4 linked regions of the Drosophila melanogaster genome follow. The protein of the gene in region 1 interacts with the protein of each later gene in a pairwise test. Each region holds a gene or a part of one and is shown on either strand. Other genes may lie near its edges.

The links.
Region 2: the proteins of Vajk3 (region 1) and Hil interact in a two-hybrid assay, tested with the Drosophila melanogaster proteins (one large-scale study listed by BioGRID).
Region 3: the proteins of Vajk3 (region 1) and PAN2 interact in a two-hybrid assay, tested with the Drosophila melanogaster proteins (one large-scale study listed by BioGRID).
Region 4: the proteins of Vajk3 (region 1) and BomBc3 interact in a two-hybrid assay, tested with the Drosophila melanogaster proteins (one large-scale study listed by BioGRID).

Annotation. Positions count from the first base shown.
Region 1 is NT_033779.5:13,944,256-13,949,161, reverse strand, and holds Vajk3 (Vajk3), read left to right. Parts: upstream 1-1,685; 5' UTR 1,686-1,764; intron 1,765-2,034; 5' UTR 2,035-2,061; coding exon 2,062-2,073; intron 2,074-3,111; coding exon 3,112-3,933; 3' UTR 3,934-4,406; downstream 4,407-4,906.
Region 2 is NT_033778.4:20,613,636-20,621,157, forward strand, and holds the start of Hil (hillarin), read right to left. Parts: upstream 4,583-7,522; 5' UTR 4,432-4,582; intron 1,299-4,431; 5' UTR 1,060-1,298; coding exon 871-1,059; intron 1-870. Other genes in the region: CG9945 (uncharacterized protein), read left to right, coding at 5,074-5,253, 5,321-5,585, 5,646-5,792, 5,845-6,384, 6,445-6,600, 6,803-6,909, 6,973-7,113; CG11180 (uncharacterized protein), read right to left, coding at 7,432-7,522. UniProt on the Drosophila melanogaster protein: May act as a modulator of septin function during cytokinesis in the developing nervous system.
Region 3 is NT_033778.4:8,925,428-8,935,229, forward strand, and holds PAN2 (Poly(A)-binding protein-dependent poly(A) ribonuclease 2), read left to right. Parts: upstream 1-2,741; 5' UTR 2,742-2,872; coding exon 2,873-2,927; intron 2,928-3,030; coding exon 3,031-3,221; intron 3,222-3,281; coding exon 3,282-3,451; intron 3,452-3,508; coding exon 3,509-4,770; intron 4,771-4,831; coding exon 4,832-4,953; intron 4,954-5,006; coding exon 5,007-5,106; intron 5,107-5,163; coding exon 5,164-5,223; intron 5,224-5,282; coding exon 5,283-5,578; intron 5,579-5,642; coding exon 5,643-5,839; intron 5,840-5,903; coding exon 5,904-6,266; intron 6,267-6,327; coding exon 6,328-6,526; intron 6,527-6,587; coding exon 6,588-6,799; intron 6,800-6,863; coding exon 6,864-7,085; intron 7,086-7,143; coding exon 7,144-7,253; intron 7,254-7,315; coding exon 7,316-7,482; 3' UTR 7,483-7,676; downstream 7,677-9,802. Other genes in the region: CG8237 (uncharacterized protein), read left to right, coding at 335-1,312; AIMP1 (aaRS-interacting multifunctional protein 1), read right to left, coding at 1,645-2,457, 2,514-2,672; FANCI (fanconi anemia complementation group I), read right to left, coding at 9,190-9,802. UniProt on the Drosophila melanogaster protein: Catalytic subunit of the poly(A)-nuclease (PAN) deadenylation complex, one of two cytoplasmic mRNA deadenylases involved in general and miRNA-mediated mRNA turnover.
Region 4 is NT_033777.3:22,083,712-22,090,022, forward strand, and holds BomBc3 (bomanin bicipital 3), read left to right. Parts: upstream 1-3,471; 5' UTR 3,472-3,491; coding exon 3,492-3,549; intron 3,550-3,606; coding exon 3,607-3,648; intron 3,649-3,717; coding exon 3,718-3,914; 3' UTR 3,915-4,790; downstream 4,791-6,311. Other genes in the region: BomT3 (bomanin tailed 3), read right to left, coding at 1,892-2,154, 2,522-2,612.

The sequences.
Region 1 (4,906 bases):
TATGCTGGCAATTGCCAAATCACGGACTCAGCCTGGCTGATATATAATCTGATTTTGTGCAAATGCACAAGCATCTAATGCCGCTACTGCAACGGCGACCCATAAAGGCCTTTCACTTTTACGCCACAGTGCAGATCTCACGCATGGCACCCGATCCAGTCACTGTTCCAGTCACAGATCCATTTGCAATCCCCGTTGGTATTCCACTCCACAATCCCACACCCAGCGTTCCGATAATCGATTTCGAGTGCGAAACTTGAGATTCGCAGCCCACGGTTATGCACCGCATCTGTTGCATCACTTTTCACCACCCCCAATCGCAGATAGTATCTATTTTTTCCGCCCGGTGATCACTAAACCATTGTCAATGACATCAAAGATGCCGAGAAATTCCAGAGAGGCAGCTTCCGTTTTTACCTGGTTGTTGCAGGAAGTGCAAAATGGTAACCCGAGTACCCCAAAGGTGGCAAGAAAACCAGAAAGCCTAATTATGACAGCAATAGAAATTGAGACATCACACTCAAATTACTATCTTGCAACAATGTATACTGATATAAAGCAAGTAACTGGTTACAAGTACAGTGAACTTTGATAAATGTTGCTTACTACAATATCAATTACAAAATCAAAGTTTAATGTAATTAATTGCCATTTTTAAAAGATCTGAATCCGGTTAAAAATTAAATACTAAAATCCGGAAAACATTCGGTTCGCCAAATGCATACAAAATTATAAGAAACATTAATTAAGTTATAAATCAAGTTACCGTTAAATCAAGTTCTACGATATTAGATCTGCTAAGTGAATTTGAGATTTATTAAACTCAAATGAAAGAAATTGCTTTGTTACACTTTTGTTTATTGGGCCACAAAATGTTTCGAAATAAATTTTATATTGAAATTATACAAGATTAAAACCAGATTACCCCTTTGAACAATTCCAGATTTATAGACCCTTTGTTTAAAATGCGAGCCGAACGTATAAATATGATACTAATAAGCAAGTTTTTTTTTTTTTTTAATTAATGGAATCAAAACAAAATCTAGTTGAATTTCCATTAGGTAGACTCAGAATTATTGATATTAGGAATCAGGTTCGACCAAAACTGCTGACTTCTGAAACTTGACAAACAAAACATAACGACTTTGATAGACATATGACCTTTCGTTGAAATCTATATTTTTGGGAACAACTTGCTAAGAAGCCCGAAGACTTTTTATCCAAATAAAACAAAAAAAAAACAAGAAAGGATTGCTAGTACGTTCTGCGGGATTTTCCCAATATAAATTTCAATTCAAGATTTAGTTAATTTATTTTATTTGCTTTTTATGTTCCCAAATTGATTTGATCACATTTGCACCCATATTTTATAAGCCACTTTCAAGTTGGCGGCTAAAGTCACCAATACACACAGAGAAAAGCCGCAATTGCGTGAGTATTGGTGGCATGCCAGTGTATTGGTGAGCGCTTCCGCTTGCAACTTTCCGTGCCGCACTAATACACACAAATATAACCAATACAAGCGCAAACCAAGCCGAACTCAGAGCTTTGAAGAGAGCAATTAGGCTGGTTTGTGGTGGGAAAAGCTTTTGGAAACCGCTGAGCGACTTGGTTTGGCGGTGTTTTCAGTTTCGTTTTGACACAAAAACTCTTTGGGGGTATAAAAGCGCGCCACTGACCACAGACAGCATCCAGTCAAAGGTTTGGAATCGCTAGTGATTCTACAATCCTTCCACAGTCTATTTCGCTGTTACTGAGTTGCTTGTAAGTGAAGCCAAATGCCAAGTTAATTTTTGTTTGTTTCTAAAATGCGTGTAGTCTATGTGAAACGGAAATAAAGTTTAAGCTGTGATCTAAAAGTTATAAACTAATAACTGTGCGAGCCGTGTGCTCTAAATAACTTCAATTTTCCAAGGAACATTTTCCCAAAGAACAGATTGTTAATACCAATTAAAGTGCTGATCTTATAAAAAAAAAAATATCTATGCTGCATTTCGTATAAATAATCTTATTGTTTTCTTTGTTTACTTACAGCCTTGGCAAGTCCCATTAGACTCCACAATGAAAGTATTCGTAAGTACAACAGACATATAGTAATTAGACATATAGAATTTAGTTTGATATGTAAATGGGTACGAGTATGTGAACTATCGCTGTTGGTAGCATATTTTAGTGTGAGAAATCAAGTAATAATTCAAAGAATTGCATACAGAACAATGCTGACATGAACTAATTGGAACAATATAGCCTTTTGCATTGCAAATGCCTCACATTGTTTACCTGGCCATCTTCAACAACAAACAACTTCCTGAAACAATTCAATCCGATAAATTTCCTTAATCAAAGGTGAAATGCTCGCAAACGACCAAATTCAACTTGAACGACATGGCTAATAAGCGTTTATTAACTGAACGATCATAATTGGAGTGCCAGCCACGTTTATTACCAGGCCGTAATCAACTGGGTTCATGTGCTCAATTAAAGCCAGCTCCAAATGCATTCGCTGAGTTGCCCACTGCGTATGCGTAACGTGACGCCAGTCGGTTGAGGCGTATTGCGGAAACTGGGCGTGGCAGTGGGCGATGACTGCACTGCATCATTTATGCCAGGCACGCACAAATTTCACTTGACCATTTGAATCGCGAAAGAGGGCGATGAGACAACGGACGACACAATGCGAATCGGGCCACATATCGCCTATCGCCTTCGCTTTCTATTGCGATTAGGTAATCGATCAAACTAGGCAATGGGTGATAAAAGTCAACGTTTTCGTTAGGCAATTTATGTAGGTTGCATATCTTGAATTGTTTTATCATAGAGAAGCTTCAAATACTTAAAGAATAGACTATACGAATTTCATGATAGATGAGTTTGCACAGTTGAGAATTCGAAGATAGTATGACTAAATTTTATTTCATTTCATTTTGAAATAGATTTAAACTATATTTGCAAGGAATCAAGTTCTACTTACTAACTTAGTTATTGTGAAATAAACTATTAAGAAATCACAAATATCTAGAATTTTGCTAGAAAATTAATATATTATTATTATTTAAAAGTCTCTAAAATGCATAGTTTCATAACCAATCGCACCAACTCAATTCTTTGCAGATCTGCTTAGCCGCTCTGCTGGTGGCCTCCGCCTGCGCCAGCAAAACCGAGGGTGAGAAGGTGCCGCTGGAGAAGAAGCTGGACAAGCGCGGCCTGCTCGATCTGGGCTACGGCTACGGTCATGCTGGTCTGGACACCGGCTACCTGGGACATGGTTCCATCTCCGGCCACGGAAGCTACGGACATGGCTACGGACTGACCGGATACTCCGCACCCGCTGCCGTCGCCGTGGGCCACAGTGGTCCCGCGATCGCCGTTGGACACACTGCTCCCGCCGTCGCTGTCCACCACGCTCCCGCCCCCTATGTGATCAGCAAGCAGGCCGATGTGCACAAGACCATCACCATCACCAAGGGAATCCCAGTGCCCGTGCATGTGGACCGCCCCTATCCCGTCGTCCATGAGAAGCGCGTGCCCGTCGAAGTTAAGGTGCCCGTGCCCCAGCCCTACGAAGTCATCCGCAAGGTGCCCGTGACCGTTAAGGAGTACGTCAAGGTGCCCGTGCCAGTGCCCCAGCCCTACGAAGTGATCCGTCACGAGAAGGTGCCCGTCCATGTGCCCGTCGATCGCCCAGTGCCCGTTGAGGTGCCCAGGCCCTACCCCGTGCCAGTGGCCAAGCCCTACCCTGTCTACGTGGAGAAGGCCGTCAATGTCCAGGTGCCCGTGCATGTGGATCGTCCCTACCCCGTCTACGTGAAGGTGCCCGTGGTGTCCCACTCCGTGGTCAAGCACGCACCCACCGTTGCCGTCAGCAGCTACCCTGTTAGCGCCATTGGCCACGATGCCACCGTCTACTCCGACCACCATGGTTACCACAAGTAAGCGGACGGAATGGACCGGAAGCAGGCGAATCTATTGGAGCGAGCGGACTTAATGGAAATGAGCCGAAGGATATCTAGCAACATTTTCAATTATCTTCCCCACTCTCTCCACCTGTCGGCCTTCCTTTCCAAAACCGAGCGCAGAAGCAAACTCTTAAAATACCCCCTGGAAGTCAAACTTCCGCCCTGCCACACTCTCTGTAGCTGATAAGAACCCCCAAGATGAAACAAGCAATGCCTTTTGTAAATTATTTCCAATCCAGCCATCCAATGGAAGCCATTGTGCTGGGCCAAGAACTCCAGGTTTAGGATAAATACCAGCTAACTGTTTGTAAATTTCGCCATTTATGAACAGTTTAGCTGGCCAAGTTTATCAGTGAAAGGTTTCGGCGCACAATGAATTGAATGGATAATAAGAACAGAAATATCTATGTGAAAATCTATTAAGGACAAATAAAATAAAATGTATAAAATAAATTTCACTGTCTTTATCACTGGTTAGCTGCTGGAAATAGTTTGTCATAGGGTTCTTTGTAATTGTATATCTTGTAAATATATTTTGTAAATAAAGAGTATGTTGTTATTAAACAGCTGTCGTTTTTGATTTGGTGGCTACTCAACATAAATAATATTTAAAAAATGTATTTTTACTAGACTTTTTGAGGATCATTTTCTGGAATATTTACAGCTCTCTAATAATATTTATTAAATAGACGGAATGGTTCAAAAACTTTATGTTCCGATCACTTTAATAAAAAGTTATACGAAGACCCTTTAATCTTGCAAGGTAACAAGTAGGATACCAGTAATTATTTCAAGCCAAGAGATGCGAATTATGCATACCTGTAATTAAGTACAGCTTAAGTTGTAATAAATCAATAATACTCAGTCACAATAAAAACAGATGTCTTGACGCCTTCCTGATCCTTAAACCCGAAAATCCTCTCACCAGTCAGTCAGCTGAGATGACATGA
Region 2 (7,522 bases), on another chromosome or scaffold:
GAATGCTCTTTCTGAATCATGTCATCTAATTGCTATTTTGAAGCCATGAGATTTCTTAATGGGCACCGATAATTATCTTCAATTAAAATTTCCTTAAACAAAAAGGAATTTTCAACTAAAACACTTTTGGAATGCATATATCTAGCGTCCAAATCGAAACACACCATTAGCCTTATTGGGTTTCGCTTTGAGTGCGTGAGCAGACCCCAAAAGTCAGTCGCTTGCAAATGCAATTTTAACCACTTCACCTACACACAGCAGGTGGCAATAGAATATGCAATAACGAACACGGACCTTTGCAGTGCAAATACAGTGCGTTTTGTGGCTTTAAGGCAGGTCAAGGAACTAAATACATATATTATATACAAATTTAATACAAATTTTTAACTTGCTAGATGGAAAATACATACATTCAACCATATAAAACATAATATTGTCACCATAATACTTCATAGATTTTTCCATTTAATTGATCTTCTTTCCTTAAATAAATTTCATTTAAATAATTTATAATACTTATGAAAGCTATATGATTCCCCCGACTTACTGGCTGACCGCATAGCTGCGAAACGCACTGTACATGAATATATGTACACACTACATAAGTGAGTCTATAGGTATATATTTCATATGTATGACAGACCGCAGTGACACACATTTGCGCCTCGGCAAGGTGCAATAACAAAGTTATTTATTATTATGCATAGGCAGAAAAACACAAAAAGTGTCGTTCGAATTGCATTTTTGCATCTTGCAGCTGTGCAAATATTTAGACTGACGCGTTTGTCGCTTAAGTCTTTCGTTTTTGTCGGTCCGTCCCCGTCTGTCTCGTGTGCCGCTGCTTGCGGCGATGCTTGTGGTGGCACTTACCTCTTTGTCATCCTGCTTGTGCTGATTATTGAAATACGTCTTGAGCGTCAGCTTTGTGCCGCAGTGTACGCATTTGAAGCAACCGGAATGGAAGAATGTGAAATCCTTTAGTGGCCCCACACGATCCACCTGATAGACTGTCTCGCTGCAGCGCAGGCAAGTCGACTCGTAGAAATTTGGCCGATACATAATGTTTGGCGTCTATGTATTCCTCCTGGATCTTTTCTTTTTCTGTGGCAGCTTCCGACTGGTTTTCGGTGGACCTGTACCTGTTGAGTTTGTCACTTTTCTTTTCGTCTTTCAATTTCACTTGGCGCGGAATTTACGAGTATATTCTGCTAGTTTTTCGAGTTTGCAGTTGCTGGTTCTGGGGGCGACATCATCCGCTCATCCGCTCATCCTCGTCATCCGTCCGCAGCTGGCAGAAGCTGTCCGAAACGAAAATGACCGAAAACGATGATTACTGCCTGAGTGGGAGATAGAAATTTCCTATTTGGGCTGCGATAAGATTTTTCGACCATCACCATATACCATATCAGGGTTCAAAAAACAAAAATTTTGATTCTGCGCAGGCGTTTGTCATGATGCGAGCCAAAACTTTCATTTATTTTGGCTATGGGCAGATTATTAATGAATCTTAATTAACTGGACACGGTGGACAAGAGTTTTGGCGTTTCTCAGCGGCAAAGGGTTAAATCCGTTTCGCCTTGCCATTGACCTCGCTTGGGAAGTCGAGCTTGAGATTGCTCCAAACGTGCCACAATTGAACTTGAGTTGCTGCATTCGTCGTACAACTGGCTCGTGCAACTTGCAACTGCCGCCTGGCAGCGGCACAAAAGTTGCATTTTCCATTTGATTAATTGACGCGATTGTTACTGGCAGGTTTCCTTTCGGTTTTTGTCTAGCTACAACAATTAAATTGAAGTGGAAAAGCAGACTGTGTGAAGGTAAGTGTGTGCGAGCAAGTGCATGTTACTTTAATTGAAATCATTGTTGTTGCGGCGTCTGTTGCTCTGACCAAAATTAAAACAAATGCGGCTCAGTTGCGCAGACAAAGCCAAAAGCCGCAGTCGAACTCAAAGTCATCGTTTTGCTTTCTTTTCAAGTTTAATGAACGTTGAGTCCGGGCGATGAATGGTGGGTGGTTGGGGATCGGTTGGGGAATGGGTGGTGGCAAGGCCTTATGATTAGCGCCAGTTGCGGCATCGAAGGTTGCTGATCTGTGGATTGCATGCCACATTGCAGCTGCAGCACTAATGGAAAATGGTAAGAAATTGAAATGGAAAAGGGGAAAACGCCAATGCAAATGCGGCGAAGGCCGCCAAGACATTTTGTAACACCAAATTATTTTGATTGGCTGTGAATAAAAATTTATTCCGCTTTTGAGGTCTGCCTTTTGATCGACCACATCGAATGTGAGGCAACAAATTGATGTGTGAATCAAGACGAGCGGGAGATTTGTGCCCTTAAAGACCATAAGCTCCATCGATGACTAACCTGTCCACAATCTCGTCTAGCTCTTTGGCCATAGCCCCCGCATCGATTCGAATATCAATCAACAACGCCCACATCGAGAGCGACAAAAATGGCAGTTTGATCTGTTGATGCGATCATAATCGGTGTGATTGAATGGTCCAATTACGCTTAGCGGCTGACATAATTAGCGTGTAATTATAATTGTAATGGACATGAATACGTGGATAGCCGCGAAGACCCTGCAAATTGGATGGGGCGGCTTTGACAAAACGCCTCGTGCGACTTACATCACCTATCACAATATCGTTCCATCATCCCATCATGCCACCATGGCCACTTGGGTGTGACTAAGAAGCTATGGACTGCAGGTAACCCGAGATGCCGCATATAATTTCGCACACATGCCTGTGCTCCGTGCCAGCTTTGGGTTTCTTTTCCACCTCAATGCGGATGAAATGCCATGCGAATGGAATATAAACATACAAAATAAAATGACAAACGCGAGAAGCAGTCACAAAAACGAAAGTTGCTCTGCGCGGGCAATTGTTTGCAATCGAGACATTTAAATAAATTGATAAGCACTCGGAAGCATTTGCATCGGGCGAACAAGTTCGTTGCCTAAGTCTTTCGTTTCGATGTGGTATCTCTGCTGTTGTTTTTGTCGTTTCCCTTATCGCTGGCATTGCTTAACGAAACGCTAACAATGACAATTAAATAAATACCAATAATAACAGTAAACTGCTGCAGCAGCAACACAAGTATAATGAACTTGAATTGGCATAATTGCCACCGCTAATCACATTAAAGCCAGATACAAAGATTTGATAAATGCAAAGAAACAACAGCCAAGCAGCAAACAACAAGACAAAAAGCAACTGGTTATTCCGCCTGGCAGTGAAACAATCATAGGAATTAAAATAAGATGCAAATGATTGCGTCACTGCAGAGTAGCGATATGAGGGGAGAAATATAAACTTAAAATGTGACAATGGCACTAATGTGAATAACTAACAAGTCGAACAGGGCAATGATTCCCCTTTTTAGATTATGGAAATAAAGGCAGATAATTTCAATGTGATGAACTTAAATAATTGTTAAATTAATAAACATTATAAAATTCAAACTGTTTTCCCATTTCGCTTTACTTTTAGGCGAACTATTTAAAGTATACAAAAGTACTTGTCAAAAACGTTTAACTGTTCTTGAAAAGTGTGAGAATTGGTTGGGCAAATTTGAAAAAATCAAGGTACTTGCTTTGCTGTGCCAATTTCAAAGTCGCTAATTGAATGGAACAATGAATTGCTTTTAGAAATCGCCCATTTCGCTGGCAATAAATTAGAAGCACAAACACCGAAAATAATTTATGAGCAAGCCACAATAATTGGAAGCCACATACGAAACCCGTGTAGTTAAAAGGGATGGAGGGCGGGTGCAACCAGCGCCCATGACAGGTGGTGTCGCCTCAACCACCCACCCCGTCTATTTGCGTTTGTATTGGTTTATGTGTGTGTTTATGCCGTGACGCAGGCCCAGCTTCGACTTCAAACGTCAGCCTGCAATCTTTCACTTTTTTTTCGTGTCTGCAGCCGCGGCGTCGGTTGTTCCAGTTTTTCCGTAGATTATTTCCCCAGCATCGCTATTATTTTTGTTATTTTCGCCTAGATTATACACACGCGATACATGGAGTGCTTATTCTAGGCCCTTTTTGACACACTTCTTTGCCGTTTATGTGTATTTCTATTACTTTTACGCATATATGCTAAACAACTTTCTTCTTCTGGTTGCAAAGGGGCGCGCTTTGTGCAAAAGTATTTATCATAAATTTTACACACACGCAGGCGCACACCGACACACAAACACACACACACAGAGCGATAGCCCCAGCGAGATCCAAGCACACATATTGCATACACACACACAGGCATAGAAAAAGGGGAGAGCAGATTGTTCAGTTCGCAAGGTCCATGAATCCGGAATTCCAATTCTGCGCTTTATCACATTTTCGGCATTATTTGTTGTGCCTCCAAAAGTCTCTTCTCCGAACAGCAGGTTTCGAATATTGGGAATGTAACAAAATTTCATTACCAAACACAACCACTCATACACAATCAGCACAGCACGACGACACACACGGACGCGTTCACTCACACTAGCACAGGTTTCGAGCCGCTTTTCTTTTCGATCCGTTTCTTTTCCGTTCGGCTCGAGCGCGATCACGATCGATTTGAGACTAGTTGCTTTGCTATTCGCGGAATGGAATCCGCTCTGAGTCGAGCTTTGTTGGGGGTAAAGCTTTTACATAGCTCCAAAAAGCTCGCTTCGCAAAGGCAACTGCGCGTGCCCACCACTACTATCGATAGCCGTCCACGGATCAGCCTAGGAGTTCCAGTAATCGTTAAAAATATTTTACTCTGGTCCCCGTTGGAAAATCTATAATTTCATTTGTTTTTTTTTATAAAGCCCTCGGCTACACTTCCTTGCTATAACTATCATTTCAGCTTAGCATTTTTAATAGTTTTAATTTATATAAATATTTATATAGAAAGGTTTTACAATTTTTTGTTCGTAATCTGCTGCGATAGATCGATAGGTGTTCAACGTTTGAACTTGAACATCGTGGTATTTTCAGGCTCTTCACCTGCGGTCTCACTGGCTGCAACAATTATCGAAGAAACGATAGGTTGAAATTAATAACAAAAGAGTGCAAAAGGGAAAACGCAAAAAGTTATGGGGAACCAATTGGCTATACAGATGAATAGCGATGAAGACGACGATTTTGATTCTTCGGACAACGAGCTGGGCTTCAACGTGATCAACTTTACGGTGAACGCCATGGATCTGCGCTCCGATTATTGCAGCAGCGAGATGCCAGTTATACGAGGCAAGCCCGATCTAGTTAAATTTCAGGTAATGACGAAATACCCCGTCCCCAGATAACAATTAATAGTAATTTATTGCCCACGCAATCTTCCAGAAAACTGATATGTACAAGGAGATCCAGGCGTCGAGTGGATTAGTGAGCAATCCGAACAATCGCTGGAACCTGGTGCACGCCCTTCAGCAGCGTGAGAATGGGTTGGCATCGCCGCACAGCGCATCGTTCTCCAAGAACCAGCAGCGCTACATATCCAATCTTTACATACCAAACAAAAAGGCCACACGCCTGATGTCGCTGGAATCCAAAATATTTGTGACCAAGTTCAATCGTTCGGGCAGCAAGTTGCTGACCGCTTGTCAAGGTCAGCATTCATGATTAACGCTTCCGATTGGCATTAAAACACGATTTTGACCCCTTCCAGATGGCTTTGTGCGCATTTACGATGGCGCCAAGGGCACTTATCACCTGCTGAATCGCATCCGAGCCCGCGATGTTGAGTGGAGCATCATCGATGCGGATTTTAGTCCGAATGGCGAGCACTTCGCCTACAGCACCTGGTCCCGCTCATGTAGGTACTCCGCCCAATCTGTTTATCCACACTAAGTTGTTTTCCCCTTCAGTGTTCATCATGCCCGTGAATGGGGGGGAAGACGACTGCCAGTGGATCGATGTCAATGGACTGCCAAGCCATAGGTTGGCCATCTTCTCGCTGCGCTATTCGCCAACAGGCGACAAAATCATCGGGGGCAGCAACAATTCCACGGTCATCGTGACCGACATTCGCACAAGAAACACACAGATCCTGCGCACCCACCGCATGCCCGGCAAGGATGTTAACTCGGTGTGCTTCCTACACGATAAGGATCCAAATGTGATAATCGCCGGCTGTGACGACGGCCTGCTAAAGGTCTACGACCTGCGCACCACCTTCCGTTCACGGGACCTGTCCAAGTCTGTGGCATCCTTCATCGGCCACTACGATGGCATCACCTACATCGATTCGCGCAACGACGGCTACCACGTGCTGTCCAACTCCAAAGACCAAAGCATCAAAATCTGGGACATAAGGCAGCCGAGCAATATGCGTAATCGCAGTCGTTCTAGACAGCAAGTCGACCCCACCACATGGGACTACCGATGGAACCGCGTTCCGCGGGAATGTAAGCTCGTGCCCGTTTTATTCTTGGAAAATTTTTAACGCCCACCTATCTTGTCGGCAGTTTACAATCCGCATAAGCCACTGGAAGGAGACTCCAGCATAATGACCTACCGCGGTCACCGAGTTACCAAAACCCTGTTGCGGGCGAAGTTCTCACCCATGGAGCAGACAGGGCAACGCTACATTTACACAGGCTGTGCCACCGGACGTATTATAAGTGAGTTCACACCTTTATCTTGCAGTATTTCTCTGATTTTCTTTCACAAGGCTATCTAAAATACATTTTCTAGCCAGTAAGTTCGCCAAGTATTTTTAGAAATTCTCTATCCATCAAAAATTTGGTTGTGAAACCAAAGGCCATTTCTGTGTTTCCGTTGATAAACATATTATGTTTTCAAAATAATCCAATTTTCTTACAGTTTATGATGTACTTACTGGTAAGATTCAAGAGGCTATTGAAGGACATAGGACTGTGATAAGAGATCTGGACTGGCATCCGGATCGCTCAGAAATCGTGTCTGGCTCGGTAAGCATCGAAATATGAGTAATATTCCTCTGAATAATAATGCACACTCAACTGCCTACGCAGTGGGACACCCATGTTCACCTGAACAACTTCAGCCGCAGCAACGCCAATCGTCCGGTAAAGCGATCACATAGCTCGGATCATGACAAAAAGCCCCTGAGAAGATCACGACGTTTGGCGAATCGAAATGTTACACCGGACTAGTTGTAAGGTTTAGAGTATAAGCTAGTAAGGTCCCCTTTGATATTACATTTCGTTACATTCATTCATAGTGGCTTGCCTAAGCGACGCACGAGAATATTCACCACAGTCGGGCCGGCTGGGATAATTGGTTCTATTAAATAAGACTGAAGAATATGTCACTCACTTGAAATGTATAGTTCAGTTTAATTAGTTAGCGTGTTATACAAAACAGTACATTAAAATGTAAACCATGAAGCTTACCAACTACCTACTTAAGTTGTTTATGTACAAAAACAATCATAATAAGAATCACGTTGAAATATATTTCGTTTGCTCGATCTAAATTCCTTGAAAGGCGACTCTCTTCTTGACCGCTCGTATGCTAGTTCTTTGCACCCTTACCGGATACTTGCTATGCTGTTTGCTTTTA
Region 3 (9,802 bases), on another chromosome or scaffold:
GAACTACAAAATGCATTACATTTAGTTCATTAGATAAACAGCTTCTTGTTCGGTTGCCCAACTACTTTTTATTCAACATTATAGTTGTATGTACAAAAAGTTAGAATAATATATTTTCGAATTTTACGTACTATCAAATATTTCGCATCAAAAGTTAAAGTGAGTCTTCTTAAATTTTCCCGCCCTGCTTGAAATTCACAGGGAATCGTATTTAGCAGTATTTGTCATTCGCAGCGATACGCCGACACACCCTACCGATTGCAATACACGTCAACTTGTATAAATAAATAAAAGCCAGCCAAATAACAAAATCGATCATTGTGAGACTGAGAAAATGGGTGAACAAGGCGAGGAGACGGGTCAGAAGCTTACGGAGCGCTCCACCAAGGAAGCCTACTTCGAAAGCCTCGCCGAGTGGGCCAAACAGGCGACGCTGGCCCAGAATGCGATGCTCATGTTTCCCTACTACCTGATGGCCAACTACCCGACCATGTTCCCGGGACTGCCTTCTTCCGCTGCTCTCCAAGCAGCCGCCATGGGACAACCCCAAGCACTGGTTCAGGGCTCGGCTGCTGCGCCGGGAGAACCAGCTGCAGAGCCTCGTTTGCCTGCGCCAAACTTCAGCGGCCTGCGGATATTGGGCGAGGCGGCCCAGCTGGATATCATACAGCGTCTTGGCGGCTACGAGTACGTTCTGTCACCTTTTTGGAAGCGCGCCGTGGCGGAGACCATCGATATGTTCATCCTTTTCATTGTGAAAATCATCATTACCTTCGGGGTGGTCAACCTGTTCAACATAGAGTTCGATGAGGACGTGATTCGGCGCACCCTGGACCAAGAAGACCTCTTTTCGAACTTCTTTGACACATCACTAGATTTTATTTCGATGTCCACCGACCTCCTGCTAATCGAAATGCTGACCAAGTTCATCGTTTGCTGCTACGAAGCGCTGTGGACATACCTATACCAAGGGGCTACGCCGGGCAAGTCGCTGATGAAGATACGCATATACTATGTGGAAGCAGTGATGCCGCTTCAGGGGCCGCCCCTTCCACAGTTCGTCCTCCAGCCGCAGAGGGAGCCGATGAGGGCTCTGCTTTATCCGCCACAGACTCCCTCGCTGATGCGCTCCTTCGCCCGCGCGCTGATCAAGAACCTGGGGATGACCCTGCTCTTCCCCATTTGCGTGTTGATGGTCTTCTTCAAGAACAATCGCACCGCCTACGACGTCCTAACCAAAACGATTGTGGTGGAGAGCAATTCCATTGCCGTGTTCCGCACCCAAGGGCAAGCGCAGCGCAATAATCGCTGAGGACGGCACTTAAACCAGCCAAAGTGTGTAGGAATGGCGCACTCCTATGCACTTCCTATGCACATATAAATAGACTTGTTAATGATAAATTTAATGTCGTTATGTACTGCTGTCGTGTGAAATAAAATAAAATATCACATGAATACCTCAGAATCTGCACGATAATCAAACATAACCAGTAATCCCAATGATCAGTAGAGCTTCCGATATTCCTGTAGAGCTACTCTTCACTGGTACTAGAAACTGAATGATAATGAAGTTCTGATACTGAAATGGTGTGCAGGCGGTGATGTTTCGTTTATTGGCTCAAAGCTTTAGTTTCGTTTATTGGCTCACTTCACATTGACGTTCTTCAGGGTTTGGGCCACCACGTTGCCCTTGCCAGGAACATGGAGAGCGGCGCCCTTGTAGCAGGCAACCAGTTCGCCGTTGGTCTTCAGATCCGGGGCGCACGACTCAAAGATCTTCTTCTTGGGGTTGAGCTGGGCGTCTGGCTGGCGCGGATAGCCCTCGCAGTGAACCAGGTCGCCGGGAACAGCTCCGGCGGGCGGACTGAGCACTTCCACTTTTTCCGGTGTAGATGCGCACATGACCATAGCCTCCGAGGTGACGCCGCGCATTTTGGCCGGCTTCAGGTTACACATGACCACTACCAGACGGTTCTGCATCTCTTCCAGGGGCACGAACTTCACCAGACCGGACACCACGGTGCGTGGAGCCGCCTCGCCGCAGTCGATCTTCTCCAGATACAAGCTGTCGGCGTCGGGATGGCGACCCACCTCCACAATCTTGCCCACGCGTAAATCCAGGCGACCGACGTCGACGGGAGCCTCCGGAGCGGCGGCGGGCTTCTCGGCGGCCGGTTTCTTCTCCTTGGACTTCTTTTCCTTGGGCTCCTTGGCCGGCTTAGGAGCCGGGGCAGCGGGTGCAGCGGTAGCAGGTCCAGCCTCTGCCGGCATAACTACTGGGGCCGCACTGGTGCAGAAACCCCGGGCTCCAGGCACCGGAATCTGTTTCTTGCCATTTCGCAGCTCCAGCTGCACCAGCTGGGCCAAAGCCGCCTCAACTTCCTTGGCCAGTGCAGCGTTCTCCTTGATCAGCTCCTGCTTCTGGCGCTCCACAAGTTGCTGCTGGATGCCGGAAATCTGGGGGGCAGTAGGTTATCGAGTGTTCGCAGGCGCTGGCAGGCGGAAATACTTGCCTCGGCTTCAATGGAGTTGATCAGCGCCTCGGCGCGCTCGTTGTTGCTTGCAATCTGCTGCAGATCGGCCATTGTTCTTTTGTTTCTCGCGAATTTTGAGCAATTCTGGCCGTAATTTTTACATGCGGATCCCACAGTCGTGGCAGCTCTACGCAGCATTGCAGTGCTTCTTCTTGCCACGCACAGTGGCGTCGCGCAGCGTTGGACAGGTAGTTCGTTGGCGGAGAAGCGAGAGTATTTTTACATCAGCCCTGCCAGGGTCACTCTAATCGGTGCAACGCAAAAACGGCTGGCAGTTTTGAGCGAAATTTGTTAAAAAATAAACAATAAAAAGTCGCGTGGGCATCGGCGTGCGGCAGATGGATTACGTGTATTGCGGCACCGACCCCATCGGGGCCTCCGAAGACATACTAAGTGGGTCAAGGGGTCGCTTTGGGGCCAACGCTCACCCACACGCACACACACACGCAAGCCAGCTAAAGCTTTCTCCTTTGTTTTCTGTTTACTTTTTGAAAAGGTGTTTATGACGCGGGATCTGCGCCGGGAAACGGGCACTTTTCGCCCAGCTTCAATGGATTCAACATCGGCACCACCGATCCGGAATATGTGGAGCTTGTGCCCGTGCTTGCCGACGGCGGGGAGCACTTCGGCGTTTCCAGCGTGGCGTTCGACGACTACGAAGAGCTGCTGTGGATGGGCAACCAGGGCGTGAGTTCCTCGTCCAGCCTGCCAGGCTTACTAATCCTGAATCTTCGCTCCTTCCCGCAGGGCCACGTCACATCGTACTACACAAACTCCATGCAGAAGTACACATCCTTTCAGGTCCACGCCACCGACATTGTGCGCGACATCTCCACCCTGGACTCCGGAGTGCTGGCGCTCACGCAGACCTCGCTGCGTCATCAGATCCGCAGGGGTCTGCCCAAGTTTACCTTCAAGTAAGCCACCGCGCTGGCACAAAGATTCCCCGAAAGTGAGGTTTCAATTTCTTGCAGATCGAACAACATGAAGGAGATGGTGAGCATGCTGCAGCTATCACCGCATCGTCTGGTCATGGCCGGACTGCAGGACGAGCTTATCGACTTCGACCTGCGCACGCTCAAGGAAACCCGCATAGAGCATGTGGGTGCCGGCGGATGCACGGTGCTACGCAAGAATTCACGTTATCTGTTTGCCGGCGACCAGCTGGGAACGGTAACGTTGCGCGACCTGAACAGCCTGAGTGTTCAGCACACAATCAAGACGCACACCAACATCCTTTCGGACTTCAGTGTCCAGGGAAATCTGCTAATCTCTTGCGGCTACAGCGGAAGGCAAAATAACCTGGCCATCGACCGCTTCCTAATGGTCTACGATCTGCGCATGCTGCGCCTGATCGCGCCCATTCAAGTGATGATTGATCCGCAGATGTTGAAGTTCCTGCCATCGCTGACATCCCAACTGGCCGTCGTGTCCAGCTACGGCCAGGTTCAGCTGGTGGACACTGTGGAGCTCAGCGAGCCGCGAGTATCCATGTACCAGATCAACACCAACGGCAGCCAGTGCCTCAGCTTCGACATTAGCTCCTCTTCACAGGCCATGGCATTTGGGGACCAGTCGGGCCACATCAACATGATTGCCGCTGTACAAACGCCTCAGCCGCAGTTCAATCTCTACTCGCGAAGCACAGAGTTTGCGGACGTGGTGCCACAGCTGCCGATGGTCTCCATTACGGACACCAACTTTCCGCTATCGTCGGTCATGCTACCGCACTTGACGACGGGCACACAATGGTTCTCAGATTGGCCGGAGGAACTGCTGCGCTACCGCTACCACAGGCCCAAGACCATTGATCCCGAAGTGCTGAGCAACATGAAAATGCAGGGACCGATTGGATACTCGCCAAACCCACGCACCGCCCGTCGTAATCAAATTCCGTACGTGATTGAGCAGGGCGGCGTGTGCAGTCCGAACGGAAATGGAACTGCGGCGGCGACCAAGGCGGAGAACGGTGTGAAAATCATTCCACGGCGGTATCGCAAAGTCGAGCTGAAGTACACGAAGCTGGGCACCCAGGACTTTGACTTTGACCAGCATAATCAAACATGTTTCGCGGGGCTGGAGGCAACGCTACCGAACTCCTACTGCAATGCTATGCTACAGATTTTGTATTTCACCGACGCGCTTCGCGTGAAGCTGCTGGAGCATTCGTGCATCAAGGAGTTTTGCCTGTCCTGCGAACTAGGGTTCCTCTTCAACATGCTGGATAAAAGTACCGGTTAGTTTGCTTGTGTAACTTAACTATCCTTAGTTTAAGTATTTATGTGTGCTCCTTTCAGCTTCTTCACCTTGCCAGGCCAGCAATTTCCTGCGATCTTTCCGCACTGTGCCAGAGGCCTCGGCACTGGGATTGATTCTCACCGACCGCTCATCGAACGTCAATCTAATATCGCTGATACAGGCAAGTAATACCATGGTTTCCTAAGCAGATATTTAATTTATGCACACTCTCAGAACTGGAACCGATTCATTTTGCATCAAATGCATTACGAAATATTCGATTCTAGCAAGAACGCATCCACCTACAGCGGATCTGTGCAAACATCAACGAACGGTAACCACAGCCGAGTTTATCCTTTACAAATAAGTGAAACTTCGATTTATTTTGCAGCGGAAAACGCGGGCTCTTCAGAAACAAGTGGCTCCTCGGACCTTTACGATTCCATAAGTGGTGGGCAGGTGAATTAATGGTTTAACTAACACTCTAATCATATGTACGTATATGAACAGATGAGAACTCCAAGGAGGACGATCGGGAACGCAGTAAGATCAACGCAGAAACTGACATCAGTAAGATCTTTGGGACCAAGCAAATCTGTATAAACCGCTGCATCAAATGCCAAGAAGAGAAGATAAAGGAAAGCATTCTACTTGCCTGCAATTTGTCGTATCCCAACCACATCAAAGATAGTGATCAGTATTTCAACTTTGGCACCATTTTGAAGCGATCTCTCAGCTCCGAGAAGAGTATTCAGGCCTTCTGCGAGAGATGTAAGAAGTTTTCGCCAACCAATCAGAGCGTGAAGGTCGGGAGCTAACTTTATAGTGAACCAAGCAAGAAGTTACATATGTAATGCATCTGAATTTCAGGTGACTTCGCTTCCGCAAATTCTGTCCATTAACTGTGGCCTCAACAACGAAAAAGACATTACCTTCCTGAAGCGCCAGCTCAATCGCTGCAGCGAAAAGACGACTGTTGATGCGGCCGCTTCCTTGAGCACAAGCAAGCCGTGTCGATATGGAGCCAACTGTTCGCGAAGTGACTGCCATTTCATGCATCCGGATCGGTGAGTTACGACGAATCGAAACTGAATCAGTCGTCTTATGCATATTGTTGTACCTACTGTGCAGAAAATCTCCATCGCACACAAGCCAACCGAATGCTGTCAACAATTCTCCCAATGGACGCCAAAAGTCCTGGTTTCCCCTTACATTTACTATGGGCATCAATGACCAAGGTGAGGTGCAGGTGCAAACTCAATCAGATGCAAGCAGTGGCAAATCGGAACAGGAGGAGGAAACGGAAAAGCCACCAACAAAGGGCTTGGACAACAATCGGATGTACGCGCTGCATGCCGTGGTGTGCCAAGTCGATGATGGTACCCAAAAGAACTTGGTATCGTTGATAAATGTGCAGCGGCCATACCACACCATGAAACTGGCTGAATCTGCAGATGACCCTCAGAGTCAATGGTATATTTTTAATGATTTTAGGTAAGTTAGATCTCTATTGTGAATGGCCTTCGATTAATATTGCTCATATATCGCTCAACAGCATATCGCCCGTTTCGCCACAAGAATCGGTATGGTTCACATTGGATTGGAAAGTTCCTTGCATACTCTTCTACAGACACGTAGAGGATGACTCTGAGTCTGCTAGTACTACTAGCTCGACCGTCACGGAAAGTGAAGAAACCATTCCATCAGAGAGCAGCAGCGGCTCGCCAACAAATCTATCCAACCCTTTTCTAGAGGTTAATAGTTTAATATAGCATTGAGTCTGCTGAATGCTAATCTGAATCTTAATCCTACCAGGAAATTGTGAGTCCTATGCTAGGCAACTTAAGTGCAGACGCCACGCTGCAGCCCCTGCAGTCAGATGAAATGCCGCAGTCGGGTGATCTGGTCGCAATGGATGCCGAGTTCGTTACCCTAAATCCAGAGGAAAATGAGATTCGCCCGGATGGCAAAACGGCGACCATTAAGCCATGCCACATGAGTGTGGCCCGGATTTCATGTATACGAGGGTAATTCATTAACTGAAACTTAAAAATATTCATCTCGATAAGCACGGGTATGAATTCTTTACAGACAAGGCCCGGCTGAAGGAGTTCCATTCATGGACGATTACATATCCACCCAGGAGAAGGTCGTGGACTACCTAACTCAGTTCTCGGGAATCAAGCCTGGCGACTTGGACGCTAACTTCAGCAAAAAGCGACTGACTGCCTTGAAGTACTCATACCAGAAATTAAAATACCTCGTTGACGTAGGAGTAATATTTGTCGGACATGGTCTGAAGAACGACTTTAGGTGGGATGCCCTGCTTTGTAAGGAACCAATAGACCACTAAACTTCCATGTGATTGCAGGGTCATAAACATCTATGTACCGTCGGAGCAGATAATAGATACGGTGCACCTGTTTCACATGCCACATCATCGCATGGTTTCCCTAAGATTTCTAGCCTGGCATTTCTTGGGTTTGTATAGGGGTTTTCTTCGATTTGGAATTGTATCTAATTGGGTTTTCCTAATGCCAAAGGTACTAAGATTCAGTCCGAGACGCACGACTCCATCGAAGATGCACGGACCACTCTGCAGCTCTACAAGCACTATTTGAAGCTGCAGGAGGAGAAGAAGTTTGCCAACGCTCTCAAGAATCTTTACGAACGCGGAAAGCAGCTGCAGTGGAAGGTTCCAGAGGACTGATTCGTCGCCAAACCCGATGCCAATTCGACGAAACTCATAATCAACGTTATCGTCAGTACAAACGCTACACCGATCTGAAAAAATCCCGGCTTCTCCCAATTTTATTATGTTTTAATGCGTTGCTATTTGCTACGAAGCTCCTGGTATTTCATGTTGTATTTGTCTATCTTTATAACAAAATCAAAACAAAGCATAAAAGTTGTATTTCTTATCAGTGATGCTTTATTGATCGTTGATGCGAATCTAAGTTGCTTATCAAATCCACAATCGGGCTAATAGGCAAAAGCGGGCAACAGATGTGTTCAGGGATCGTGCACGTCAATCGATTCAATTCCTTTGAAATTCTCATTCGCCCTCCCCTATCACCAGCGGCGTTTGTGAATTTTTGAGATGCTGTCGCCAATTTGATGAATAACCTGATGTTGGACTACTGCGCACCTACTTATAAATACCACGACGAGCAAGTCAAGCCAGTTAGTTGTTAGAGCTCACCATTCACTCAGGGAACATAGATGACAATGCATTTGCTTGGACTTCTCGTGCCGATCGCTTGCGCTGTTTTGTGCGTTGGTGAAAAATCCCTTTACCATGGTCTCGCCCAAACGGAGACTAATCGACGATTCCATTGCTCCCTCAGCTGCCGATCTCCAGCGGACATACGACGGACATGATGGGCCTCACGTTTTCGGAACACCCGGCAATCAAGTCTACATTCGGGGGCAGAACGATGGCGTATACAAGGTGCCAGGAGTAGGTGGTCAGTTCCATCACGCATCGTCGCCAGCAGATCACGTCTATACGGATGAGCAGGGGATCACGTATGTGCACAAAAAAGACGCTGGAGGACCAGGTGGCTAAGAATCATGGTTCGAGGCAGTGCATAAATCTTATTATGGATACTATTTTAAGGAACACATACGCTTAGAGGACCAGGTCTAGCTGCTGTACAGCCCGCCTACTCCACTGTGCAGCCTGCGGGACTTCGCAATCCCCAGTTTCATGTGGAGCGAAGTGGTCGCACTGTGGATGTTGGTTCTGGAGGATTTGTCGTCCAAAGGAGCAGACGTAGTCCTCAGTTCCATGTGGAGCGTCCTGGTCGCACTGTGGATGTGGGTTCCGGAGGATTTTTTGTCCAAAGGGGCAGGCGTAGTCCCCAGTTTCCTGTGGAGCGACCTTGGCAAAGGGCTTTGAAGGACTGATTGTTGAAAGGGACAGCCGCAGCATCAAAGATGGCCGCGTCCAGGGAGAAAACTTCGTGGCTCGTGACGATCAAGCAGGAATTTGGGATGATAGTGTGTCGGTGTGGAAGCGTCCGGATGGACGAACTGTCTCGGTGGGCAATGACGGAAGTGTTATTGTTTCTGGACATGGGCACACGCTGCAAGTGAGTACATTGTTTAATTTATCAAGTTTCGCTTATGAATATACTTATATATATTTTTTATTTGCAGTACTAATAAATAATGGGAAGCAGCCTTTTAATTTACAGAGATTAGGTAGCTAAAATTCCAATGATATTAAATGAACAAGATTCACAAAAACATTGAACAATTTTTCTTTTTGAACATGTGGAAATTCTAGAAAACAGCAATACAGCACATAATGAAAATTAAGTAATTGCGATAATCGCAACCATTTTTGAATAAGCAATGGACTGGCATGATTTAAATACATATACTTTTTAATATACTTTTTTTTAACAAAACATCATTTCCTTAATGTACGAGGTATTCCCAGTCTACGACTAGGTTGTGGTTTCTTCTTCTCAGCGGGCACTTCGGGAACGCAAAGATCCACTTTGGCTGGCTCCGCTGTTTGCTTATCCGCTGGACCTTTTGACCTTTTACTGGTACGACTCTCATGGGATGGCTGCTCCTCGGGTTTTTTAATGGCCACACTCCTTTTGGTTTTTGGCTCCACTTTTTTGTTTCGCCTTAATTTTAAAGTCGTTTCAGGCTGCTCTTCCTCGACTTGCTCTTCATCTTCAGCTTCCAGCTGTTCTGCAGCTTTGCGGCCTCTTTTTCGTTTGGGTTGTGGATCCTCTGCTTCACTGCTAGGTGCACGCCTCCTGCGCCTTTCTTCCTTCTTCTCTATGACTAAGCATTCATCTTCCTTCTCCTCCAAGTCCTCTGGATACGTGGTGGACTGTGCGTCATCGTCTTCCTCTACATTCTCATTTTCATCCTCATCCTCATCCCGATCCTCAGCATTACTGTCTTCGGTAGAAATGTTGCGGCCATCCGAGATACTACGCTCTATAGCTGCCCTCAAATCCGTCGACTTGATATCGAAGTCGCGCATGGTTCCCAAGTGGAGGTAG
Region 4 (6,311 bases), on another chromosome or scaffold:
GAACAATGTTATATATTGTTTCTTTTCCAAAAGCAGAAAGGAAAATATAAATGGATTTTCTCAAATATTAAAAGGTTTACGTAGTAAATTAAGTAACTAGTCTAATACTGACGCGTAATAAATCATAATTTACTTAGATCATAGAAAACTAATAACTAGAGAATCAGACCAACAGCCTAAAAGTTTGTTATATATTTAATGCCATTTTTAATTTTCGCCCGCTATGCATCATCGTATTGCAACAAACTTTGCCATATAGAACATAAAGTTCGCCGTTCTAAGAGCGGCTCGTGTTCGCATAGAAAGTGGGTGGCTGTTTCAGGTTAATTTTGCAGCTCGCTTAGTTTTTACCTTGCAGCATGGAAATTGAACGCTAATGGCTCTGCAACCATTACCTGCCCCAAGGACCCGTCACTGCGAATCTCAATTGCTGTTGCATGCAGCAGCGAATTTTGCACCTAACTTGTGGTGCTTCTTTGTAAGTGTCTAATTGAAAAAGTGCTTGGCAAGGCGAAATCTTTTCATATTAGCGGGGGGAAAAAAAAACAGTTTTTATGAAGTGCACTGCAAATATTAATTTTTCAGGAGGCTTAATGCTTTGGGCAACATCTTTAGATTGCCCACATCCTGGAGAGAACCCACACTGCGAGCCCTGACATCGACAAGGAGGTAATCCTGAGCAACACTTCCTTTGAGCCTAAACGAAAGGAAATGTATTCATTGGAAAAAGAATGAACATTTTTATACATGTGTATTCAGCAAATAAATTATTACCAAATTACTATTTCTCCCATGAATATATACTAATATCAATGTTTAATGGGTATATATTTAATAAAAGCATGATTTTCTTAGAAAATTAATCTAAGCCCAATGTGCTACTTCTTCCACTGAAAACCCGAAGCTACTTTACTGACACTGAAGATTTTCGATGTGCGCATTCTACTTCTAAAACTACTACTACTACTAAAACTACTCATTCTAAAACTACTGATTGCACAGGCTATAAATAAAGTAATCTTTAAGCGTATCTACTTTGAAATGGTTATTTTCGTTTCGAATGTGTAATTATACATGTGCTGCAAGAGTCTTAACTAAACATATATCCACGAAATGTACTATTTTTAAGCGTGCACGCAACCTTTTCTTAAATGCAAAAGAACCAACTTAAAGAAAGGAAGTCCTTGAAAACTGTTTAACAAAATGCATGCTATGATACCGATAATTATACTTAATGACCCTTAATTTGATTCCGGTTCATTTGCTTCAGCTTAGCTCACCAAAAGCTCGCCGAACGAACAAAAATCGAACTTGTAATTGTATCAATTAAGTGCTTGTGGATTCACCGAGCGGTTCTTTTGGTTCAACTTTTTGGAAATTCGATGCCCTTGCATATTTAGCCAGGGCAAGTCCTTTAATTAAGACTGACAAGCAGGATGGCTGAAACTTTGAAGAGCTTATGAATTATTTCCTTTGCAGGACTTTGACTCCTTCAACCGAACAGCACAGTCGGTTTTATGGCTTTAAGGGTATATTAATCATCACTCTTGAACAGTTGCTACTCATTTATACGTGTCTGAACTGAATTACAATGAATACCAATTATAAAATGCACAGGAATTAAGGATATTATTTTTAGAAGCTATAGGTGGCATGCCATTTATTAGTAGCGTTAGCTGAGTATTTGATAAGTTTATTCACTAGTTTTACTTTAACAGAGGGACTTGTTTTTAACCTTTAACAAAACCTAACAAAAGCTCATTCTGTAAGTATATAAAAGTAGTCACCGCTGATAAAATATATATTTTTTTTATTTAAGTCTATATAATCTAAGTTTCAGACGATGCTTGCTCTTCGCGCTTAGCGCTAGCAAAGCTTCGAGATTATAATCTCAGCCGCTTATAATCTGCGTAAGACCGCCATCATCGTAGCCACCTCCACCGCCGCCTCCGTAGCCTCCTCCACCTCCTCCTCCGCCGTTACCATAGCCGGGTCCAAAGTTGCCCGAATATACTGGACGACGGCCACCTCCTCCACCTCCGCCGCCGTTGTAGTATCCTCCACCGCCTCCGCCTGCGTTGTATCCACCTCCTCCTCCTCGTCCTCCGTTGCCACCTGTGTAGACTCCAGGTCCTTGGCCTCCGGGTGGATTACCTAATAGTGATATTTAAATCAGTTTCTTGAGGAGTAGTAGTTACTTAATTGCGCGCTAGCTACTGCATTTTTTACGCAAGCCAGCAAATGTACTATGCGCTATAGAAATTAAAAGCTTAAAGCTAAGTGTTCGGAATTATATTATTCATAAACTTAACCAATAACAAATGTTTAGAGTATCGTTAATAATCACTTAATGACTTTCGTTGCCAAGAAATACCATAATATAATAACAAATTGATTGTTCATTCAAACTTTCGCTAATGAAAACACAAAATTTCCTTTTAAACTATGCCTGATGTGGCAGCGACGAAAATCGTTGAACAATTTTTGAATAAATGGCCCAAATTAATAGGCATTGACTTACAGTCGTAGCAACCGCCACCGATGTAAACAGCCGCCTCCGTTAGAGCCAGTGCAAAAAAAGCGATAATCGCAAATGCCGTCAAGGTTCTCATTGTGGCTGGTCTATTAGAACGTCGAACTGGTCTGGACCAGGTACGAACCGCAACAGCAGCTTATATACGATGCACTCATCGATTCCGATTCCGATACTGAATTTGAATTCGAATTCAAACCCAAACAGACCTTATCGCTGCAAAGAACTATTGCTGTGCAAACAAACCACTACGTATGTATTAAGTATTAATCTCAGGGAATTGCCCGCGGATGGGTTTCAAAAACAATCTGTAGCGCATCAGTTGGTCAGTCGTATTGCATTCAAGATACTCTACGTTACCTTTTTAACATAACAAATACACAAAATCTGTAAAATCTATAATAAGTCAGACACTTTTCATTTCTACAAAGTTGCAAAGATTTATTTTTAATGAAATGTATTTGTTTTCAAATATATTTTTTGCTTTTTCATTGTATTAAGTATCTTATTATTTAAATATAAATTGTTAGCTTTAGAACTAAAGCTTCTACATTTCACTCACGAGTCACGACTTTCGGTTCTGTAACCAGTTTTCCTTAGATGTATGGATAAAATTTAATGGTGTGCGATTCTCTGGAATCGCTTGCCATTCATGTTTACGTCTGGGAATAATTGTAAACCGACTTTTCGGGGCGTGACTGTCATAAGTTTCTTTGAAGAAGTTCAAGGAAATCAACTACGTCGACCTGATGCCACAAAACCGTGTGCGGAAAACCCCATCGAATTGCGATTTGATAGTGTTCTAGTGTGAAATTAATTTAAATATATTGTTCAAATACAAATCGAAAGCTCCAAACGCTTAGGCTTATGCAAATCGATTTTGATTCGGATCGAATCAAGTGCCGGACTATATAAGTAGCGTGAGAGTCGATACGGTCATCTATCTATCGGCTTTAATATGAAGTACCTGACGTGTGTGCTGCTCCCGTTGGCTTTAATTCCGACTCTGATCGGCGGTAAGCTGGACGGGATTGCTGCTGACGCTAATTGATACACACTGAAATTATTTCCAGCTCATCCCAGCACAGTGGTGGTGAATGGCGTCTGTCTGACTTGTAAGTTGCGATTGTTTTGCCAGCTAGGCAATTGGACAACTTAATGAATAATAATATGCACTCGAAAAGGTCCCAATCCGAATGGTGAACCCGTCTACCTGGATGGCCAGCAGTACCGCAGCTTCTCCTCATCCCCTGGCGATGGTAATGTGGTCATTTCCCGTGGAAATGACGGTAGTGGCGGTGGAGGTGGCACCATTTACCGGAGGGGTGGTAATACCATCGTCAATGGCAGATGTCAGCACTGCAACGTGGATCCCTATTAAAGGCTTAAACAATAAAGTCTGAATATTGAATTAAAATTGCGCACATATCGATCAATCCATTTCATACTTACACTTGGCTATGTACAACATCATTTAGCTAAAAGCATTGACAATCGTTCAACCCAGTCTCTCTGCAAATTCGATGAATGTGATGGTTTCGAGTGCAGAGGGCATCATCTGATGGAGGCAAAAAATGGAAAAATGAGCGTTTTATATTCAGTTTTTGTTACCACGAAGTACACGTGGAGAAACATGAAACATCCGAGTTATTTTATGCTGCGAAAAAAGCGTGAAGAATGTTATAATTGCTTTTGGTCGAAATATTCAGTCCTGAAAATCAAATTTTTCACATTTAAAATAAGAATTTTTTTTAACGATTTCCAGTACCTCATTGCGTGCACTGCGAGCTGTCTGTTTGTGAACATTGGCTTCTCTCATCCTTCTCAAAAATAAGTGATACAAAAGCGTTACATTTTCAAAAGCCTTGGTTTCAAAACAGTCTGCAAATAAGGGAAGACCCACGGATTTTGTGACGGAAAAATAGAGAAATTCGTGCTGCCAATGGCATCGATTGTTTGAACTTCAGCTAGTTGCCACATAAACTGGGCTGGGAGCTGACGTCGCTGTCTCCAGAGTATTGCACAGCATCGATAATCAAATGCGAGTAACCAACCGTGCAATTTACGCCAGTGGATGTGTTGTCAATGAAAACGCTGGCCTGATGTAAGGGTGCTTAAGGTTGCGCGTGCCACGTGGCGTATACGTAATGCTACTGCAGGAACGGCAAACAGAAGCCTCTCAAATATTTGCTTTGAAACTAACTACTCGACAAACAGTAAACACTTAGTGCATACACACACACACACACACACACACACTTCCCAAGAATATTTTGTGCAGAAGTTTCGAATAAAACTGATGCTGTGTTTTTATATACAGAATAAGAAGGGAAAAGTTTCATTCAGGCTTAGCATGCGAAAACAATTAAAATTGTAAAAGGATTACTTAACAATCATACAATTTTGATTTAAGCGTATAACTTAAGAGAATAGTATTGATTCCCGGACATCCAAGAATAAAAACCTAAGCTTTATTTGCAATTAAAAAAAAATACAATGCATTGAAATCAATGGACTGCCCTTGCGGATGTGCTAAATTCAGAAAAACGCTCGACTGGCTTAAAATTCAATGAACATTTGGGTGGCATAACCATACCAATCGTAAAGGGTTTCGATACACTTTCTCTGATTTACTTTTAATACACTTTATTGGCAGAAATGTGTCGTTTCCTATCTTTTTGGGTCACAAATTGTTTACACGCAACTTTAGAAGCCCCATGAAGCTGAGGAACTCAGTCCTAGTCCAGAACAGGGTGGTTTATCTGCCTAGCAACTTAAGGACCTTGAGCTGGGGAATGTTCGAAATTGAATTTATGTTGACTTGTATTTGATTTCAGGTCAATTTCTGTTCTCTTGTGCCTAATTTGTGCGGCATTAGAGGGGAATTTCTGGGGCAGGTGAAAGGTGAGCCGATCGGACTTGTGGCAGCAGTGGCCATCTCCTTCACGCTTTTCAAATAAATTTTAACTTTTTTCTGTTTCGCCCCCGCAGTGTTTTGCCAGAAGGCAGAATTGATTTATTTGTACACCAATGTTGTTTGCCCTGGGGGCAGCGCCTTTGGTAATATTGTCACGTGCTTGGAAACTCTTATATCTGCCACTGGTTGAGCTTTATTTGAAAATCCCGGCCGCATAGCAAATTTACATAGCTTTAATTATTATATTTTACCCCCAACTCGCCAATGCTTGTATAAAGTCGCTCTTCTGTTTACTGCCTCCTTTTGGGGCGCCAGAAGATATTAATAAATAAATTAAATTCCATGTACCCAGCACTTCATTATCGACAGGATTATTCCTTTTCCCACCATCGAAATTGGAATTCCGACTTTGCTGAAAGCGTATAATTAACGAAAATGCGATAAGTGCTGGAATTATGCGGAGAAAAGCATCAGTTTCTGCGAAGTCATCCTTACAAATGAGACACGTGAAATAGCTTTGGTTGATTGTGAAATTTAAGGTATTTTGTGTGTGTTGCTAAGGGATACGACTATTCTATACTTCAATTAAATGAATTAATTTACTACTAAAGACCTAATTTATTGCTTAAGCGTTTCGACAGGTTTATATTTACTAAATCATAAACATATTAAAACGGATGCTACATAAAAAGTTTATGGGGTGACAAGGTCACGAAAAGTATGACAACTGCGAAAAACTTGAAGCTGACTTCTGCAGTAATTCGCAAGTTAAACTTTGAAGGGCATACACGAACAAAAAAAAAAGGAAAAAAGAGCTCAGAAGTGTAGCTAAAACTTTGAAAGGACAACTTTCTGCGATGG